Callithrix jacchus: one gene and its partner. The protein of the gene in region 1 purifies or fractionates together with the protein of each later gene. This does not show direct contact. Links are inferred from orthologs where the notes say so. Each region holds a gene or a part of one and is shown in the gene's direction. Other genes may lie near its edges.

The links.
Region 2: the proteins of AMHR2 (region 1) and CDC37 purify together in Homo sapiens (co-immunoprecipitation; 3 studies listed by BioGRID and IntAct, with this or other methods). This does not show direct contact. The link is inferred for Callithrix jacchus from reciprocal best matches to the Homo sapiens genes AMHR2 and CDC37.

The regions. Positions count from the first base shown.
Region 1 is NC_133510.1:66,125,968-66,130,354, reverse strand, and holds the start of AMHR2 (anti-Muellerian hormone type-2 receptor), read left to right. Parts: upstream 1-1,333; coding exon 1,334-1,382; intron 1,383-1,686; coding exon 1,687-1,869; intron 1,870-2,110; coding exon 2,111-2,302; intron 2,303-2,566; coding exon 2,567-2,644; intron 2,645-2,852; coding exon 2,853-2,971; intron 2,972-3,086; coding exon 3,087-3,302; intron 3,303-3,685; exon of another isoform or gene 3,686-3,792; intron 3,793-4,387. UniProt on the Homo sapiens protein: On ligand binding, forms a receptor complex consisting of two type II and two type I transmembrane serine/threonine kinases.
Region 2 is NC_133523.1:9,585,206-9,589,009, reverse strand, and holds part of CDC37 (hsp90 co-chaperone Cdc37), read left to right. Parts: intron 1-1,586; coding exon 1,587-1,862; intron 1,863-2,236; coding exon 2,237-2,345; intron 2,346-2,437; coding exon 2,438-2,553; intron 2,554-2,633; coding exon 2,634-2,756; intron 2,757-3,804. UniProt on the Homo sapiens protein: Co-chaperone that binds to numerous kinases and promotes their interaction with the Hsp90 complex, resulting in stabilization and promotion of their activity. Inhibits HSP90AA1 ATPase activity.

The DNA.
Region 1 (4,387 bases):
AAAGAAGAGAGCCTGGACTTTGGAGTCAGACTTGCCTAGGTTCAAATCCCAGCTCTTTCCTAGCTGAATGACCTTGGGCAACTTAGCTCAGCTCAATTTTTTTTTTGAGACAGAGTTTCACTCTTGTTACCCAGGCTAGAGTGCAATGGCACGATTTCGGCTCACCGAAAACTCCGCCTCCTGGGTTCAGGCAATTCTCCTGCCTCAGCCTCATGAGTAGCTGGGATTACAGGCACATGCCACCATGCCCAGCTAATTTTTTGTATTTTTTTAGTAGAGACGGGGTTTTACCATGTTGACCAGGATGGTCTCGATCTGTTGACCTCATGATCCACCCGCCTCGGCCTCCCAAAGTGCTGGGATTACAGGCTTGAGCCACCGCACCCAGACTCAATGTGTTTTTAAGAAATTCTGATAAATTGGCCTGGGCGTGATGGCTCATGCCTGTAATGCCAGCACTTTGGGAGGCCGAGGCATCAGATCACAAGGTCAGGAGTTCAAGACCAGCCTGGCTGACATAGTGAAACTTCGTCTCTACTAAAAAATACAAAAATTCTCCTGCATCAGCCTCCCAAGTAGCTGGGACTACGGGCACCCATCACTACGTCTGGCTAGACATGGCGATGGGTGCCTGTAGTCCCAGCTACTTAGGAGGCTGATGCAGGAGAATCGCTTGAGCCCAGGAGGCAGAGGTTGCAGTGAGCTGAGATTGTGCCACTGCACTCCAGCCTGGGTGATACAGCGAGAATCTGTCTTAAAAAAAAAAAAAAATTCTGGTATACTTTCTGATTCTTAAGTTTGGAAAACAAGGTAACCTCTAGTATGGGCTGTGAGGCATTCCTCTGCCCAAGCAGCTACAGATGTGAACCCTGAATATAAAGGGATCTTAGGCTAGAAAGGATCTTGGGCAGAGCTGAATGACTCTAAGCATTTGACCTCACTTTGGCTTCCTACTGAAAAGAGTCAACAGAGTCTGCATCTTCTTCCAAGGTCAGCAAAGGGCAGAGATTTGAAATTAGGCATCACTGGGTTCTCAGCTGGGCCTCCAAGGTCCCCTCCTCCCACTTTGCAGAGCAAAGAGGAGGCTGCAGAAGAGAAGAGGATATAAGATTGGTTCTCTGCTCCTCCCTTTCTTTCCCTGCTTTCCCCACACCCACCCTCTCCCCCACAGCAGCCTTCTCCCCCACAGAGGCTGGGAAAGGATGAGGGGGGCGGAGTTGGGGACTGAGGGATCAGAAGTCCCACGATGCCCTGTATCTGAAGAAAGCTTTGGCCAGGGGCAGCTGTGCTGGCTCATGCTCTCCTTCTCCTGCTGCTGCCATCCTCCAGCAAGATGCTTGGGTCTCTGGGGCTTTGGGCATTACTTCCCTCAGCTGTGGAAGGTAAGCGTCGACAGGGAGGGGCAGGGTCTTTCCATCCATCCAGCGAGGGAAAGGGGTGCTTGAAGCAACAGCCACCCCTTTGGAAGAGTGGTGAGTGGGCTGGGTGAGTGAAGATGAAGGATAGAGCCATGTGTCCCCATGGCAGGGCTCAGGTTCCAGGCCTCTGCTGACCCTGGTTCCTCCTGTGGCTTTACCATACTGACGCTGGGATGTGAAACATGTTTTGTCTGTTCTTTTGGCCACTTTTCGGCCTCTGCATTCACTCCCATCTTGAATCCTTTCCTTTCCCCATCCTGGGCCTCAGCACCCCCAAACAGGCGAACCTGTGTGTTCTTTGAGTCCCCCGGAGTGCGGGGAAGCACAAAGACATTGGGAGAGTTGCTAGATGCAGACCCAGAGCTCCCCAGAGCTATCCGCTGCCTCCACAGCCGCTGCTGCTTTGGGATCTGGAACCTGACCCAAGACCGGGCACAGGTGGAAATGCAAGGTGAATGGCAAAGTATATGGCAGGCAATAGCTAGGGTGGGAGACAGACACATCCTGGGGTGTGGGTGGCAGCCAAGGGGGAAGGGGAGAAATAGAATATTTCATGGTGGGAAAGAAAAGCCCATGAGAGATGGAAGGGATGCCTCTGAAAGAGAAGGGATTTATCCTCTGTTTCCACACCACTTTGTGCTTTCTTCCTTGCTCCTTCTTTCTCTCCTCTTCCCCTAATCCCACCCCATCAGGATGCCGAGACAGTGATGAGCCAGGCTGTGAGTCCCTCCACTGTGACCCAAGTCCCCGAGCCCACCCCAGCCCTGGCTCCACTCTCTTCACCTGCTCCTGTGGCACTGACTTCTGCAATGCCAATTACAGTCATCTGCCTCCTCCAGGGAGCCCTGGGACTCCTGACTCCCAGGGTCCCCAGGTCACCCCAGGTAGCCACCCAAGGGTACTGGAACCTGGTAGGGGCTGGGGCCCAGGTTAGGATGAGAGGTGGAACCAGTGCTAGTTCTCACCCTACTCCCACCCCATACTTTCCTCCTCCTGGCCTTGGGAAGTTGGTTACCCTGGTGACTGGGAGATAAGGGGTCTTGTGACCAGGGTGGGGGTGGGTTGAGAAGCAAACTCTCAGGAGGGGAAGAGCAGAGAGCAGGTTTGGGTCAGGGTTCACCAGCCTGCATTCTTGCCTTGATGTCCAGGTGAGTCCATCTGGATGGCACTGGTGCTGCTGGGGCTGTTCCTCCTCCTCCTGCTGCTGGTGGGCATCATCATCTTGGGTACTAATCCACCCCATCCCTCCCTTGTGACCCCAGATTGCCCCAAAGCTCTGACCCCTCTCCAGGCACCCCTGACCCCATGGTCTTGGGATCTCTGTAGCCTGATTCCCAGACTCCCATTACCTCTCACAAAGCTGCCTTTCCACAAAGTCCCCTTTCCTGTCCCCATGCATGCGCACCCTAACCCTAAGGCTCTTCTCTGTTCCAGCCCTGCTACAGCGAAAGACTTACGGAGTTCAAGGTGAGCCAGAGCCAGAGCCAGGGCCAGACTCAGCCAGGGACTGGAGTGCGGAGCTGCAGGAGCTGCCCGAGCTGTGCTTCTCCCAGGTGCCCCAGGGAGGGAAAGAAGGGCTCCTCTGGGCACTCCTGGAGGTTGTGCTGGGGAGGAAGCCTTGCCCTGGTATAGCTGAGAGGCCAACACTCAGCACAGTGTCCCTACCAGGTAATCCGGGAAGGAGGTCATGCAGTGGTTTGGGCTGGGCAGCTGCAAGGCAAACTGGTTGCCATCAAGGCCTTCCCACCGAGGTCTGTGGCTCAGTTCCGAGCTGAGAGAGCACTGTACGAACTGCCAGGCCTACAGCACGACCACGTTGTCCGATTTATCACCGCCAGCCGCGGGGGCTCTGGGCCCCTGCTAATACTGGAACTGCATCCCAAGGTGAGAGCATCAAGGAACGTATATGTGTGTATGTATGGAGATGGGGGCTACACAGCAGCTGGGCCCTGTTCACGCTTCTGCTTTAGATTTTCTCTTTTCTAAAACATTAAAAATGGCCACACAAGATAGCCCACACCTGTAATCCTAGGCCTTTGGGAGGTCAAGGTGGGTGGATCAGTTAAACCCGGGAGCTCAAGACCAGCCTGGGCAACATGAGAAAACCCCATAACTTCAAAACTACAAAAATTAGCTCAGCATGGCGTTGCACACCTGTAGTCCCAGCTACTCAGGAGGCTGAGGTGGGAGGATTGCTTGAGCCTGGGAGGTTGAGACTGCATGAGCCACAAGCATGCCACTGCACTCCGGCATGGAAGAGCAGGATCGTGCTCGCTTCAGCAGCACATATACTAAAATTGGAACGATACAGAGAAGATTAGCATGGCCCCTGCGCAAGGATGACACGAAAATTAGTGAAGCGTTCCATATATAAATTAAAAAAAAAAAACAGAGCAAGACCATCTCAAAAAATAATAATAGGGGCCGGGTGTGGCTCACACTGGTAATCCCAGCACTTTGGGAGGCTGAGGTGGGCGGATCATGAAGTCAGGAAATCAAGACCGTCCTGGCTATGGTGAAACCCCATCTCTACTAACATAAAAAAAAAATTAGCTGGGCGTGGTGGTGCACACTGTAGTCCCAGCTCCTCAGGAGGACGAGGCAGGGGAATCACTTGAATCCGGGAGGCGGAGCTTGCAGTGAGCTGCAATTATGCTACTGCACCCCAGCTTGGTGAAAGAGCAATACTCCATCTCAAAATAAAATAATAATAATAATAGGCTGGGTGTGGTGGCACATGCCTGTAATCCCAGCACTTTGGGAGGGTGAGGTGGGGGAATCACTTGTGGGCAGGAGCTCGAGACCAGCCTGACCAACATGGTGAAACATCATCTCTACTAGAAATACAAATATTAGCCAGGCATGGTAGCAAGTACCTGTAATCCCAGCTACTCAAGAGGCTGAGACACAGGAATCGCTTAACCCAGGAGGCAGAGGTTGCAGTGAGTTGAGATTGTGCCACTGCACTC
Region 2 (3,804 bases), on another chromosome or scaffold:
AAGAAGAAAGGGAAGAGAGGCAGGGCCTTTGTTGAGGGAGAATACCACAGAGGACCTGGTTCTGGGGAGGAAAGATGGTGAGTTCGGTTTTGGGCATGGAGTTAGAGATGCCTGCAGGGACACCAGGCAGAAGCAGCTTGATGGGGGTTGGGGGTGGGGGGAGGAGTAGGGAAGGGGACCAAGTGTGGGCGAGGGTGGCTCCAGGTCAGAGGGGAAGGCTGGCAGCTGGAGACAGTGTTTAGGCCTCCACTGGGCATCTCATTACTTATTCACTCAACAAGCATTTCCTGGCCAGGCACAGTGGCTCACGCCTATAATTTCAGCACTTTGGGAGGCTGAGGCAGGTGGATGGCTTGAGCACAGGAGTTTGAGACCAGCCTGGGCCACATGGCAAAACGCCATCTCTACAAAAAAAAAAAAAATTAGCCAGGCAGGATGGTGTGCACCTGTAGTCCCACCTGCTTGGGAGGTTGAGGTAGGAGGATTGCTTGAGCCTAGGAGCTCGAGGCTGCAGTGAGCCATGGTCGCATCCTGCACTCTAGTCTGCATGACGAGGAGACGTTGTTCAGACAAAACCGAACAAACAGAAACAAAAAAAACAAGCATCTGTTGAGTCCCTGCTTTGCACCAGGCCAAGTTCCTGGCTCTGGGGACAAAGTGGTGAACACATTCCCACATGTACAGAGCAGGGCTTGGAGGGAGGCAGTATGCAGAACATGATAAACAATTATCATATGATGTCAGTGGTGGCTGGTGCTGAGGAGGCAGGGAATGCCAGGCAGGGGTGGGGGGAGGTTGCCATCATCAGGAAGGTGGTTGGGGAAGGGGTCCTCGCTAAGGCAACATGGAGCTCAGATGGCTCGGGTGCCGTGGAGTCAGCTGTGGCGGGATCTGAGGGAAAAGCACTCCAGGTAGTAGGAACAGCCAGTGGGAAGGCCTTAAGGTTAGAGAAAGAAGTCGGCTCCGCAGAATGCAGTGGCTCCTGCCTGTAGTCCCAGCACTTTGGGAGGCCAAGTTAGAAGGATTGCTTGAATCCAGGACTTCAAGACCAGGCCGGGCAACATGGTGAAACCCCGTCTTTACTGAAAATATGAAAATTAGCTGTGCATGGTGGTGCATGCCTGTAGTCCCAGCTACTCAGGAGGCTGAGGTGGGAGGATCGCCTGAGCCCAGGGAGGTCAAGGCTGCAGTGAGTCATCTTCCGGCCACTGCACTCCAACCTGGACAACAGAGCGAGACCCTATCTTTAATAAAAGGGCTCAAGAAAAGATGAGAAAAGTGAGGGACCAGTGTGGATGGAAGGAGGAGTGACAGGGCAGATTGTGCAGGCCCACATAGGCTGTAGTGACGACTTGGGCTCTGTTCTGAGTGAAATGGGAGCCGCCAGGGTTCTCAGCAGAGGATGGAGGAACCTGACCCTCTTGGGTGTGCACTGGCACCTGTTGGGGCAAGGAAGTTGGGAGCCCAGGGCACTGGAGGTGGACGCAGATTTTTTCCCGGGGCTATCTCAGGAGCAGGGGTTGAGTATGGGGCCGGGGGTAAGGGACAGGCCGCCCACCAGAGTGACAGGCCGTTCCTGCCGGCAGGCCCGGGTGGAGCGCATGGAGCAGTTCCAGAAGGAGAAGGAGGAACTGGACAGGGGCTGCCGCGAGTGCAAGCGCAAGGTGGCCGAGTGTCAGAGGAAGTTGAAGGAGCTGGAGGTGGCCGAGGGCGGCAAGGCAGAGCTGGAGCGGCTGCAGGCTGAAGCGCAGCAGCTGCGCAAGGAGGAGCGAAGTTGGGAGCAGAAACTGGAGGAGATGCGCAAGAAGGAGAAGAGCATGCCCTGGAACGTGGACACGCTCAGCAAAGATGGCTTCAGCAAGGTGTGCAGGGCGGGCGGGCAGTGCGCATGCGCAGCCAGTGAGTGTGCAGCCAGGACGCATGCGCACCCAATGCCAAGTCAGGGGAGGACCCCGGTGGTGAAATTGAAGAGTGTGGTGTGGGGGTTGGGGGATGGACGGGGGCCATGTAGGGAGGGGGGACAGGCTTGGGGAGCCGGGCGGATGAAACACCCCACCGGTCCCCTCCTCTGATCTGCCCCAAGGCCCATGCCCACGCTCCCGCCACCTTGATGCTCATGGCTTCGTCACCACCTCCGCCGTGGATGGGATGGGCGCTGCGGCCACGGCCCGTCCGGCCGCGCTCGAGGCGCTCCGCAGCCTTGCCCCAGCCCACTCCCCTTCTCACCCTACCACAGAGCATGGTCAATACCAAGCCTGAGAAAGCAGAGGAGGACTCAGAGGAGGTGAGGGAGCAGAAACACAAGACCTTCGTGGAAAAGTATGAGAAACAGATCAAGCACTTTGGTGAGTGGGGCGTGTGGGTTATGGGGGAGCCAGGTCAGGGCAGGCCCTTTGTCTCCAGGGCCCTCCAGCACCTTGCCAGCATCTTCCCACAGGCATGCTCCGCCGCTGGGATGACAGTCAAAAGTACCTGTCGGACAATGTCCACCTGGTGTGCGAGGAGACGGCCAATTACCTGGTCATCTGGTGCATTGACCTAGAGGTGGAGGAGGTGAGTGGAGCTTTCCCAGGGCTGTGAAAAGGCGCTGCCACACGCCGTCACTTGGTGACACTGCCTGTTGTCCCTGGTAGAAATGTGCACTCATGGAGCAGGTGGCCCACCAGACAATCGTCATGCAGTTTATACTGGAGCTGGCCAAGAGCCTGAAGGTGGACCCCCGGGCCTGCTTCCGGCAGTTCTTCACTAAGATTAAGGTAGGGGCTGTGAGCTGCCAGGTGGCCAGAGGCCCCCTCCTCAGGGGACCAGCCTACAGTGCTCTGGGCAAGGCCAACTCCTGTCCACAGGGACTCAAACCCCTCCAATTGCAGCATCCTAGTTAGGAGACGGCGGGGGCAGGGAGGGTAGAGAGGTGGGCTGATCCTGCCAGACTTTAAAAGTGGACATCAGGCCAGGCTTGGTGACTGAGTACTGTAGTCTCAGCTATTTGGGAGCCTGAGACAGAGGACCACTTGAGCTCAGGAGCTTGTCAGCTATGGTGTGCCACTGCATTCCAGCCTGGGTGACAGAGTAAAACCACATTAAAAAAAAAAGTGGACACTGGGCACAGTGGCTTATGCCTGTCATCCCAGTACTTTGGGAGGCCAAAGCGAGCAGATCACCTGAGCCTGGGAGGTCGCGACCAGCCTGACCAACATGGAGAAACCACGTCTCTACTAAAAATACAAAATTAGCTGGGCATGGTGGTGCATGTCTATAATCCCAGGTACTCAGGAGGCTGAGGCAGGAGAATTGCTTGAACCTGGGAGGCAGAGGTTGCAGTGAGCTGAGATTGCGCCATTGCACTCCAGCCTGGACAACAAGAGCAAAGCTCCGTCTCAAAAAAATAAAAAGTGGGGGCAGTAGGATGTGCTGAAGGTCCCCATGTGGATTTGGGGGTAATATGGGTGTCTCTAGGGTTTTGAGGGTTTTTTTTTGAGACAGAATCTTGCTCTGTCACCCAGGCTGGAATGCAGTTACTCGATCTGAGCTCAGTGCAACCTCTGCCTCCCCGGTTCAAGTGATTCTCATGCCTCCACCTTCCAAGTAGCTGGGATTACAGGCACCTGCCAGCCTCTAGAGTTTTAACCTGTGCATCTGCAGGAACAGGGCTACTCTTACCAAGATTGGGGAGACCAAGGACAAGGCAGGCTGGAGGGACACTCAGAGGCTGGGAGGTGGCTATGTTAAGTTAGAGGCGCCTATGCAGGGACACTGAGGACGTGAGTGTCACACATCTGCGGTACAGCAGGGCTCCCAAGCAGG